Caenorhabditis elegans: one gene and its partner. The protein of the gene in region 2 purifies or fractionates together with the protein of the main gene of each other region. This does not show direct contact. Each region holds a gene or a part of one and is shown on either strand. Other genes may lie near its edges.

What was found.
Region 1: the proteins of homt-1 (region 2) and C30H6.8 fractionate together in Caenorhabditis elegans (co-fractionation; one large-scale study listed by BioGRID). This does not show direct contact.

Annotation. Positions count from the first base shown.
Region 1 is NC_003282.8:17,380,244-17,383,670, reverse strand, and holds C30H6.8 (protein-disulfide reductase), read right to left. Parts: upstream 1,343-3,427; coding exon 1,187-1,342; intron 1,111-1,186; coding exon 893-1,110; intron 844-892; coding exon 681-843; 3' UTR 592-680; downstream 1-591. Other genes in the region: C30H6.12 (BESS domain-containing protein), read right to left, coding at 196-235; dlat-2 (2-oxoacid dehydrogenase acyltransferase catalytic domain-containing protein), read right to left, coding at 1,524-1,680, 1,767-1,904, 2,140-2,360, 2,405-2,542, 2,588-2,692, 2,738-2,936, 2,981-3,036.
Region 2 is NC_003279.8:4,152-12,100, reverse strand, and holds the start of homt-1 (Alpha N-terminal protein methyltransferase 1), read left to right. Parts: upstream 1-1,870; 5' UTR 1,871-1,952; coding exon 1,953-2,006; intron 2,007-2,254; coding exon 2,255-2,374; intron 2,375-5,773; coding exon 5,774-6,064; intron 6,065-6,804; coding exon 6,805-6,906; intron 6,907-7,742; coding exon 7,743-7,880; 3' UTR 7,881-7,949. Other genes in the region: nlp-40 (Peptide P4), read right to left, coding at 412-460. UniProt on the Caenorhabditis elegans protein: Alpha-N-methyltransferase that methylates the N-terminus of target proteins containing the N-terminal motif [Ala/Pro/Ser]-Pro-Lys when the initiator Met is cleaved.

The DNA of each region.
Region 1 (3,427 bases), on a different chromosome or scaffold from region 2:
GATACTTTCTGCTAAAATGACAGTTCCATAAAATGTGAAATTTAGCACAACAGTCTCCGCCCATATCTTAAATTCTTGCATTTTTGCATTAAAAATACATATACTTATTATGTATCTGCCATACGTCCTCTCATATTTTTATTACCACAAACTAAGATTTTGAAATAAAAATAGCAATTTTAGAAGTTAACCCACCGCTCTCCTCCATTTCAATAATGTCTTTTGCCATCAACATTAGAACATCAGACTATACGAAAAAATGAGACGAAGCCAAACAAAACCGCGTACTTTTCCTTTCAATATTTTTTTTGCCCGACTGCTTCTCTAATCAGTTAGAGGGGAAAGAGATGGAATCCCATAGCAACCACACACCGCCTTGCCCATTTTTAGTGCTTTTCTCGTTTCATTATCATTATTTTCGTTGTCGTGTAGGTTCAGACTCTCTATTTCTGATGCTGTTGTTCAGTGAGCGGAATGGGAGAGAATAACAGGATGTATATGGGGAATATATGTGAGAATTTTCGAGAATGCATTTTTTGTATTTAGTGTTCGTCTGGAAAATATTGGTGAGAAAAAGAACAAATTGTAATGGAAATTATTTACTTAAAAGAACCCATAATCAATGTTTTCTCTACTAAAATGTACATAATATTCAAGTCTAGTTGAGTCATCTGTGTAAATCACTGATTCAACAATTTCTTCCATTCCTCCATAGTCTTCACAGGATCCGCCTTGATTCCAGCTTCTACGTCAGCACGGACACGATCATGAACGACATCTCCATTGGAGTTAACGAGTTTCAGAACCGGTATCACCACTGCTTTGTACTTTTCCGATAGCTTTCTGAAAAATTATAATTTTTTTCAGTATAAATTTTGGAAATTTCTCTCACTGAATATTTTCATCTCCAAATGGAATATATGGCCAGTCTGGAAGATTCTTCTCATAGTATTCTTCTTGGTGGGCTGCTTCTTTGTCCTTCGACACCCATACGATTTCCAGATTCTTTCCAGCATCCGATTCTTTTACAGCATTGTAGAATTTCTTGATCTTTGGAGTCAGAAATTTGCAGGATCCACACCATCCAGCTGAGAAGTAGACAACTACTGTCTGAAATTCTTTTTTTTTCAATTTTTGAAAATAAATTTTGCAACGTAAATAGGTGATTTAAATTATTCAGTCCTACCTTATTTTCGAAATAATCTTTTGGTAGATTTCCATCAACTCCACGCTTCTTCATTGGAACCGATGACAAAAAGTGTGCATTTCGGATACTTGCGAACTTTGTGAAGTTGCCAGAAGCTGAGCGAAGAAATGATGAACCAAGAAGTGAAGGGGACATCTTGAAAATAATCGAAAATTGTGGAAGAAAATGTTGGACGACGCGATATTTTTAGGGCGATTCACGCGGAAAGTGTTTTCAAATTTCGAATTGCATTCAAATTAAAAATTCGACTTCATTTTATCTAATATTAGAGTACATCGGTGCTATGAAGAGTATGAGAATCCTGTCTAATTCGAAACTACAATAAACGCGAAAAATCAAAATCGAGTTCTGGAGAAAGTGGTTCAGCAATGAGCAATTCCGGATCAGAAAGCGATTCGGAGAAGTGAAGAAGGAATCGTTTTGCACATTCTTCGGAGATTGCTCGTCCGTCGAAACAAAGATTGACACCCATTCTAGAAAAAAATACATATTAATCTGATGGGATTATTTAATTTTGATGGCAGAGATTTTTTTTAATTTCCTAGGTATCAGTCCTTACAATTTTTGTGTCTCCAATTGTCCATCAACAGATACAACTTCAGAACGAGTTCCTCCGATCGTCAAAATGGCACATTGCGGTGGATTTATGATGGCTGTGAAGTTGGTCACACTTCCGAACATTCCAAGATTCGAAATTCTGAAATTTTCTAATTTTTGTATCATTTCGGGATGATAGCTTTTAAATTTGCATGATTATCATGTGATTTCTTTATCAATTCTTCTCTCTTACGAGAAATTAGAACAGAAACATAAAAAACTTCAAAGATCTCTAGAAGTTGTTTGATGTGGATACATTTTTTGAACGTTGTGAACGTTTCAATAATTTCTGTAATTATATTTGAAGTAACCGAAACAAATAGAATAAATCTCACGTAAAAGATCCTCCCTGGAACTGTTGTGGTTTTAATTTGCTTTCTCGCGCCAATCCCGACAACTCCTTCACTTTGCTAGAAATCGCCAAAACGCCCAAAATATCAGAATTCTCTACAATTGGAGTGATAAGGCCGGTTGGAGTAGCCACAGCGACCGAAATATCGACTGATCCGAGACCGATTCCTTCTGGAGTCCATCGAACATTTACTGTCGGCACGGACTGAAATAGAGCTCTCATTTACGAAGAAATTTTGAAAAGCCTACCCTCAGTGCAAGGGCTGCGGCTTTTATGATAAAGTCGTTGAGCGAAACAGCAGTTCCGGATTTTTTCAATTTCTGTCTCAACGCCAGAATATCGTCAATTCGAACGTCAACACCTTGATATTCGTGAGGAATTTGCTGCTGAAATAAAATATTTTCTCCAATAATAACATTTCGAATTTTTACTTTAGAAGCTGTCAATCGTTTTGCGATTGTTGCTCGAATATTGCTGAGAGGAATATCTTGGTGATGACGGAGACTGCGATTGTTGGCGCCGAAAATGTCTGATTTCTGCAAAACAAAACAATATGTAATTTTTGAAACATTTTTCCAAACCTTTTCAATAGATTTATTTTCAATATGTGTTTCTTTTGGAGCATGTGCATGATGAGCCACCGGCTTCAGCTTTTCAGCTTCAACTATTTTCATAACATCGCCTTTCAGAATATTTTTGTTTTTTGGGCCTGTTCCATCAATTTTTCGATTTTCCAGACCATATTGAATCAGAAGAAGCTTGACTGCAGGACCGCAAGCTCTGGAAAATACTATTAAATAGAAAAATCTATTTTACACACTTACCCTTGGTTTTGTGCAGCAGTAGAAAGGTGGCGAAGAGCCTGACTACCGGCTAGCATGATTACCCTGGAAGAAATATATCAATTGTTATTTTTACGATGCGTGTCATAACAGGAATAACGGAAATATTTAGCAAAGGAAGAAGAGGAATTGAAGGAAAAATCTGTTGAGCGGTGTGCAATGCAAGAGCGCTCTGCCGCACTTCTCTATTTATTTCTCCGTCAACGCCTCTTTCTCTTCGCTCAATTGCATTTTTTTGCATTTAAAATAAATATTTACTTAAATAAACTAATCTTTTTTTGAAAAAATTTAATAACGAAGTGTACTATTTAGCATAAAATTATGCATAATAAATGAAATAAAAAAGAAACCAATATTCACATTAAAAAAATTAATTGCCATGTTGTCCGAGAGGAAAACACGCGTTTTTCCACTCGAGACCAAGCTGCC
Region 2 (7,949 bases):
CTTGTTTCAAGTATAAAACTAATTTTATTAATTAAACGTTTTTCTGTAATAAATTCTAAATTCTTACCACTTTCGAGCATTCAAAAGCATAATTTCAGACAAGAATTTCCAGACTCCCAGAGGTCCGTTGCAGAATTTGAAAGCATATTCTTGTAGCCAATGATCTCAGCTTCCGTTTGGCATATGTGGCGTCTCTAGGTACCTCACCCCTAAGCTGACCTAGTCAGAATTTTCATTGATTTTTCATAAAGAAGAAGTCGTGAGAAAAACGATGAATTGATGAAAATTAAGCAGAAACGAAAATTCGAAACTACATTACTCACTGCTTTTCGAATTTAACAAAAATATTGCCATACCGAGACCGGCAACTGTATTTTTGGCGGAAAAGTATTATCTAAAGCATAAACTCACCAAAAACCGCAACTGTCGCAACAAAAGATAGCAGAATTACGAGTTTCATGTTGATTGTGTATGTTTGGCTTACTGTAAATGAAATTTTTTTTTTCGAAAGAAACAATTATAATTTTAAAAAATCATACGTTCTTCTCGATCTCTAGAACCGAAGAAGTTTGGGTGGCGCTGGAGGGTGACGCGGCAAGAATGAGTAGCTCTCGGAGCCGCCGTTCAGGCCACGCCCTGCTCTAGGGGGCGGGCATGCGCAACAAGGGCCGTCACGAGAAAGAGAAGGAAAAAATAAGGATGACCTATGTGCCCTTCTAGAACATTGAAGATAATCAAAAGCGATGAAAAATTGATGACGTCATCAGCTCGCCGCGAAAAAAGAGCGGCGTTGCGCGCCAAAAGTGTGAAAGACTGAAAGTGTTATCAGTACCATGTAAGATAGGGGGGGGGGGGGGGGTTTATGTCGAGAAGGCATACACAGGTGGAGTCTTTCAAAATTAGACACAGAAATTATTGGAGAAGAATAGAGCGGGGCAAACACTATTTTTGGGTTTCCGTGTTTTTTTTTCCGCTTCGTTTTCTCTTCCAGTGACGCATTGTCTCTGAATTGGAAATACAAGAGTCTCACCTATACCTGGAGGCCTCCATGGAGGTCGTAATGTTTGTCGGAGTAGAGTTATTACGGGAAAATATTTTACGCGCAAAATATCTCGTAGCGAAAACTAATGATTACTGTAGCACATGTGTCGATCTACGGGCTCGAATGAAATTAAATTAATTCAAATCATTTATTTATTTATTTAGAATATTAATTGAGCGAAAAAATGTAATTAAAAATTCATTCCTGAAAATCGAGATTCCGTAAATCGACACAAGCGCGCTACAATAGTCATCAGTTTTCGCTACCTTAAAACTTGCAAATTTCCGCGACTTTTCAAACCAATCAGCGACTTCGAACTCCGCCTACTCGATCTGATTGGCCGGAATATGGGGCGGAACGAATCTCTGTTCGGTCGCAGTTCTAATTTTGGAGGGAGTTACGGACATAATTTAATAATAGATTAAATATTAGAAGAAAACAGAAAAATGGCAAAAAATACGAAAAGACTATACCAAATTGAATATGGCTGTCACAATTCGAGCAGAAATTCGTTTCGAGAATCGAGCCCGTAAGTCAACACAAAGGCTACAGTAGTCTTTTGAAGAATTGCTGTAGTTTTCGCTGAGCGTCAAATATGTTGCAGCAATGAGAGTTACAAACTACAGTACTCTTTAAAGGTGCATACCTTCACATTTAACAAAAATAGTCGTGTCGAGACCGTATGCCGTAAATCGACACTGATAGCCGTGGCCTAGTTTTCCAGATTTTTCTTGTGTTTCTCTTCCATTAAAAAAACGCACATGTCTGTTTATCTTTCTCGTAATAATTTTCCCGATGAACTAGTAAATATAAATATCTCATTTCCAGTATCATCATCATATCCGTGACCTCTCGTCTTTTCGTCACAAAAGTCTCCAGATTGCTCGGAGCAGCTGTCACAACATCAAAAATGAGCTCTTCATCATCTTCTAGAATTCACAATGGTGAAGATGTTTATGAAAAGGTACAAAATCAAAAAGTTCGGCCAGCACGCAAATCTTTTGCGGAGAATTTTAGACCAAAAATTAAAAAAAAAACCGAAACATTTTTTGAAAAAAAACTTTTTTATTTAAAATTATCGAAAATACTAAGTTTTTCTGAAAAAAGCTGAAAATTTGAAAAAAAAACTCTATAACATGTAAGAATTTTTGAAAAAAACTAAAAAAAAAATTTTTAAGTCTCAAAACAATGTTTTCAACTATTCTCTTTCAGGCGGAGGAATACTGGAGCCGCGCGAGCCAGGACGTCAACGGAATGCTCGGCGGATTCGAAGCGCTTCACGCGCCCGACATATCGGCGTCGAAACGATTTATTGAAGGACTGAAGAAAAAGGTATAGAAATCATCGATTTTTCAGGAAAAGCAAGAAAGATCGGTTTAAAAAATTATGAAATTTTATTTTAAAAATCGAAAAATCAACAAAAAAAATCGAAATTTTAGAATTTTTCTAAAATCGGTAGTTTTCGAAATAAAATAAAAATGTTATTTTAAAAATTATTTTAAAAAATTTCGAGAAATTCAAAAATCGAACAGAAATGTTCGATTTTTTGCTACAGTGCATTTTTTTTCCACTTCTACGACTTTAAAGGGGGGCGCATTTATGCGGAAGGGTCTTGCCGTGCACATAGTCATCATTTTTAACAAAGTCTGCTCAAAATTCGCGGAGATCACGCGTAGATCACAATTAATTTGTGAAAAAGCAACAGAAATACGAAATATGGGATAAATATTTTGTGATCTTCATGTGATCTACGCGAATTTTACACAGAAACTGCTAAAAATGATGACTAAATGCGCGGCAAGACCCTTCCGCATAAATGCTCCCCCCTTTAAAGTCGTAGAAGTAGGAAAAAATGCACTGTATGGTGAATTTGAAAATTTTCTAAAAATCCGAATAATTTAGTATATTGGGGTTTCGACGAAAAATGCCAATTTTTCAGTAATTTCTGGTCTTTTCTAAAAAAATCTACATATTTCAGATCTCTTCCTCCTTTTCCGAGTTTTTTCGTTATTTTTTCTAAACTCACAGTATATTAGCGAATTTTCAACAAATTCGACAAAAAATTCTGACTGTTTTCTAGAAAAAAAAAAAGGCGGCATGCGCAAGTTTCAAAATTTGCCGCACACCTCTGGGCATTACCTTGAAAGTATCAATGGAAAAGTGTCGCAAGATTTAATTTTCTGATATTCCCCCCCCCCCTCCCGTTTTACTTGTTTCTAGGTTTGAGTTTACTTAAATTAATAACAAAACTGGGAGATATATGCTCGAAAATTAGACAGAATCTCTGCCTGGACGATTTCTAGGCTACGCCGTCATTCCCATAGTTTTCATAATCTTTCGGCTCAGTGATCGAAGCTCGCCGCGCCAGCCGGCACAGTAAGATTTAAAATCAGGTTATCACCCCATGCGTGAAGATTTTTTTCGTGTTTTTTGTCTGAAAAATAATGACAAATCTGTGTTTGGGTAGGCCTAATGAGGTCACCTGATTACGGCTGATGAGCAAAGCAGAACTTTTTTTGCAAAAAACTTATCATTGGGGGGTTCTGAGAAATAGACGAATTTCTGAGAAAGTTATGAGAAATAAATAGACGGCCTAAAAACCCCATGGCCGAAGCTTTTTTCTAGATAGCATAATGATGGCCTAGAAAAAACTCTACCACTGGAGAAACTTAATCGGTGTGCTCATTTTCTACCTGGTCGGGGATTTTGGAAAACTTTTCCACACCTCGTAACGACTTGAGGATAACTCAGCTCTGTCGAAATAGCATCCTGATGGCCTAGGAAAAGCTCTTCCACTGAAAATGTTTGGTCGTCCTGTCTATTTCTCTCATGGTCGAAGATTTTCAAAACTCTTCCACAGCTCCGAACGACGACCTGTAGTCACGATCAGGATTTGGAGGTCAATTCTCCTCGTACGATATCTTCTCACCTGAAAACTAGGTGAATTCCGTCGTGTGGAGCCTGAACGCTTCCCATTTTCACGTGACCGAAAATTTTGTAAGACCTCTTCCACCTCGAATTTCTCGGCAGAAGTGGGGTACTGTAATCTCAATTTTCTGGCAGATGCTCCAAAATGTTAATTTCTGTAATTTTCGAATTTTCGATGCACCATGTCTGAAATAATACCAGCTGGAAGAGTTTTCCAATTTTCTAGGCTACGCGGCAATTTCTGACCTTTTAGAAAGTTGTTGCAATATAGGTTTGCTATGAAAAATTCAATTAAATCTTTTTCCGAGTCTTCTTTCCCGGAAATCAAATAAAACGCCGAAACTTTTTTCTCATTTTCTTTTGATGGAAAATGAGAAAACACGGCAGATTTTCAATATTACTTTGGCACCCAAAACGCTTTTTGTTTTCAGAGAATGATTCTTTCTTGTTGTTTGCCAACGCACGCCACACATTACCACATATGACGAATCTTCCGCTTGTTTCGAAAATGACTTTCAATGGGGAGAGAAAGGGGAATATTCTTGAAATATGAGGCAAAAGTTGCGATTTTTTTGGAGTTGACTGATGGGAAATGCGCATAAAAAGGCGGTGAAAGGCTAAAAGTTTGTAAATCTGGTGTAAAAACTCGGATCCTAGAAATATACCCAAATTTAATGAGGTCTGAACTGAAATTTTCTGTATTTATTTTAAATTTATTATACTCAGAGAAGGAGTGAAGGTTCGGAATTTTTCTATAGACCCTATTTATTTTCCTGATTCCGAATATCAATGTGAAAAAATTAAAACAAATTTTCCTCATTTTCATAAATTTTTGTAACCAAGTGTGAAATTCAAACGACAATTTTTGTCGCTTACAAAAATTTATATAAAATCAGGGAATTTTTTTTGAATTTTTCACATTGGTATTCGGAATCAGAGAACATAAATAGGGTATATAGAAACATTTTCGTTTTCCTTTATTTTATAAATTCTGAAATTTTCGTATAAACCACGACACGGCTAACAAATTTGCATGAAAGTTTTTTAGCCTTAAAAAAAACAACATTGAAAGAATGATGAATAATGGTTTTTGACGGAATATAGGCGATAAACGCCAAAAAGTGTCTATCGTATAAATTTTGAGACTGACGGGGGCTATACGTTTATGAGCCGTAGAAAATTTTATTTTCATCAAATTTTTATGAGATTAACATTCGGTCGAACATATAGGGGTTTTCAAACCCCGATTTTGAAAGTATAGGCCCAAATTGTGCTCAAATAAACGAATGTCGTAATAATACTTCTCAAAAATGGTTCAAAGTTTTTTATGTGGCTCAAAATTTCGAAAAATGGCCCAATTACCGAAATTAGACTTTTCGGCAAACGGGAAAAACGGCAAATGCAAAATATTTTTGCCAACTTGTGGGTTTGCACATGTTTTTTTGTTGGAAATTTCAGAATTTCAATTTTTAAAACAACAAAATTGTCCTACATCTATTCTGAAAAGTCAGTAAATTCTATAAAAATATCTGAAGAAAACGGGAAAAAAAATTCAAAAAAGCACTGTGTTTCCGTCTTAATAAAAATTCCTTTGAGAAATTCCTGCAAATTGATATCCGGCAAACGGAAAATCGTCAGTTTGCCTGAATTGAAAATTAAATTTAAAAAAGGTAAATTCGGCGAACCGGCAAATTGTCGTTTTTGTCAAATTTTCGGCAAATTCAGAAAATTGACAATTTGCCGATTTGCTTGAAATTGCCGGTCACCCCTGGGCCAACTTTGAATTTTATAAATATTTTCCAGAATCTATTCGGCTACTTTGACTATGCACTGGACTGCGGAGCGGGTATCGGACGTGTTACAAAGCATCTCTTAATGCCATTCTTCTCGAAAGTTGATATGGAAGACGTCGTCGAGGAGTTGATCACGAAAAGTGATCAATATATTGGAAAACATCCACGAATTGGAGATAAATTCGTCGAAGGACTGCAGACGTTTGCACCGCCCGAACGACGTTATGATTTGATATGGATTCAATGGGTTTCAGGGCATTTGGTTGATGAGGATTTGGTTGATTTCTTTAAAAGATGTGCGGTAAGCACTAGATAGCACTGAAAACTGAAAATATGTTGAAAGTTTATAAATAAGAGGGGGTCTTATTTATTACGTTCATAAATAAAGCATGTAGTTTTTAAACAAAATTCTAGGTAATTGAAATGCTTTGAGTAAAACAGAAAAAAAAATATTTTCGATGCTCCGGTTATTTTTTAAGCGAAATAAAATTGGATTCTTTCTGTAATGAAAAAATAGTAAAAAACAATATTCAACCGAAAAAACTGAGTCTAGAAAATCTGTATCGGTTAAAATTTTTTTTTAAAACAACAATTTTTCACATTAAAAAGTCAATTTCGTACATTTTTTCCGATTAAAAATTTAAATTTAAAAATTAAAAACATTTACTTTTTCGATTTTCTTTCAAAAAAAACCACTGAAAAATCCGGAACATTCGGATTTTTTTTCAATCAATACGATCTCCTTGATTTACAACCTGTTTTATTAAATTTTCAATTTTCCTTTTTATTGAAAAAATCGGGTTTTTAAACTTATGTCCGGTCATTTCCCTAATTTTCAATTTTAAAATTAAACTATTTGCTTACCTGTAATTACAATTTTGACCACAAAACAGAAATTGAAATTTTTCGATTTTTCAGTTTTTTAAAAGATAAAACCCGAAAAACGTGCAGGCCTGGTGGTGGACTCAAAAGTTGAGAAATCTCTGAAAACTGTTTCATTTAAAATAATTCAATTTTTTTAAAATTAATTTTCATTTTCAGAAAGGACTGAAACCTGGTGGATGTATTGTGCTCAAGGATAATGTGACAAATCACGAGAAACGGTTATTCGACGATGATGATCATAGTTGGACGAGAACAGAGGTGCTGGTTTGAGAAAAAATAATAAAAACTTTGAAATTAAAAAAAATTCACAAAAGGCTCATTTTACAAATTATTCTGCAAAAAAAACATTCGAAAACAATTAAAATTTTGAAAAAATGAGAAGGGTGTGTCGATTTACGACGAATTTTTGGACAGTTTGTACAGTTTAAAAAATTTTTGTTTTTGAACCAGTTTTGCCAATTTTTCAAATATTCGCCGAAAAACGGTTCAAATTCACAAATTTTAGCCAAAAACTGTATAAACTTGCCCACGTGTAGTACAAAATCGTTAGTGAATCGACATGCATAAAAAACGCCAAATTCCGAAATATTTAATATTTAAAATTAAAATTCATTTAAAATTGTTGTTTCGTCTCGAAATTTAGAAAATATATTCTGAAAAAGGACATATTTCTTTTATTTTGCCAAAAATTTCAATGTTTTCACCCAGACTCGAAATTTCGCGATATTCGGGTCAAAAATACTGTAATTGGGGTCTCGACACGACACGTTTTTGCGAAATTCGAGCAGGCGTGCACCTTTAAAGAATACTGTAATTTCAAACTATTGTCTCATAGTTTTTTGTTGAAAAGTGATTTATTTAAAGAGAAAAACTATGAAAAATATATGAAAATTCCACAGAAATGAAGTTTTTAAACTACAGTACTTCTTAAAGACACACGCCCGTTTGTATTTCACAAAAATTGTCGTGTCGAGACCCCACTTACTGTAATTTTAGCGCGAAAATCGCAAAACGTCACGTTTGGATAATATCGAAGACAATTTGCACGAAAACAATTTTTTACTAAACATTTTTTAAAACAATTCATTATTCAGCCCGAGCTTCTTAAAGCGTTCGCCGATTCTCAACTGGACATGGTCTCGAAAGCACTGCAAACCGGATTCCCAAAGGAGATTTATCCAGTAAAAATGTATGCATTGAAGCCTCAACACACCGGATTCACCAATAATTGATTTAAATATCGATTTTTATTCGTTTAATTGCAATTTTCCCGAAAATTTCATGTTTTACATGCGTGCTCA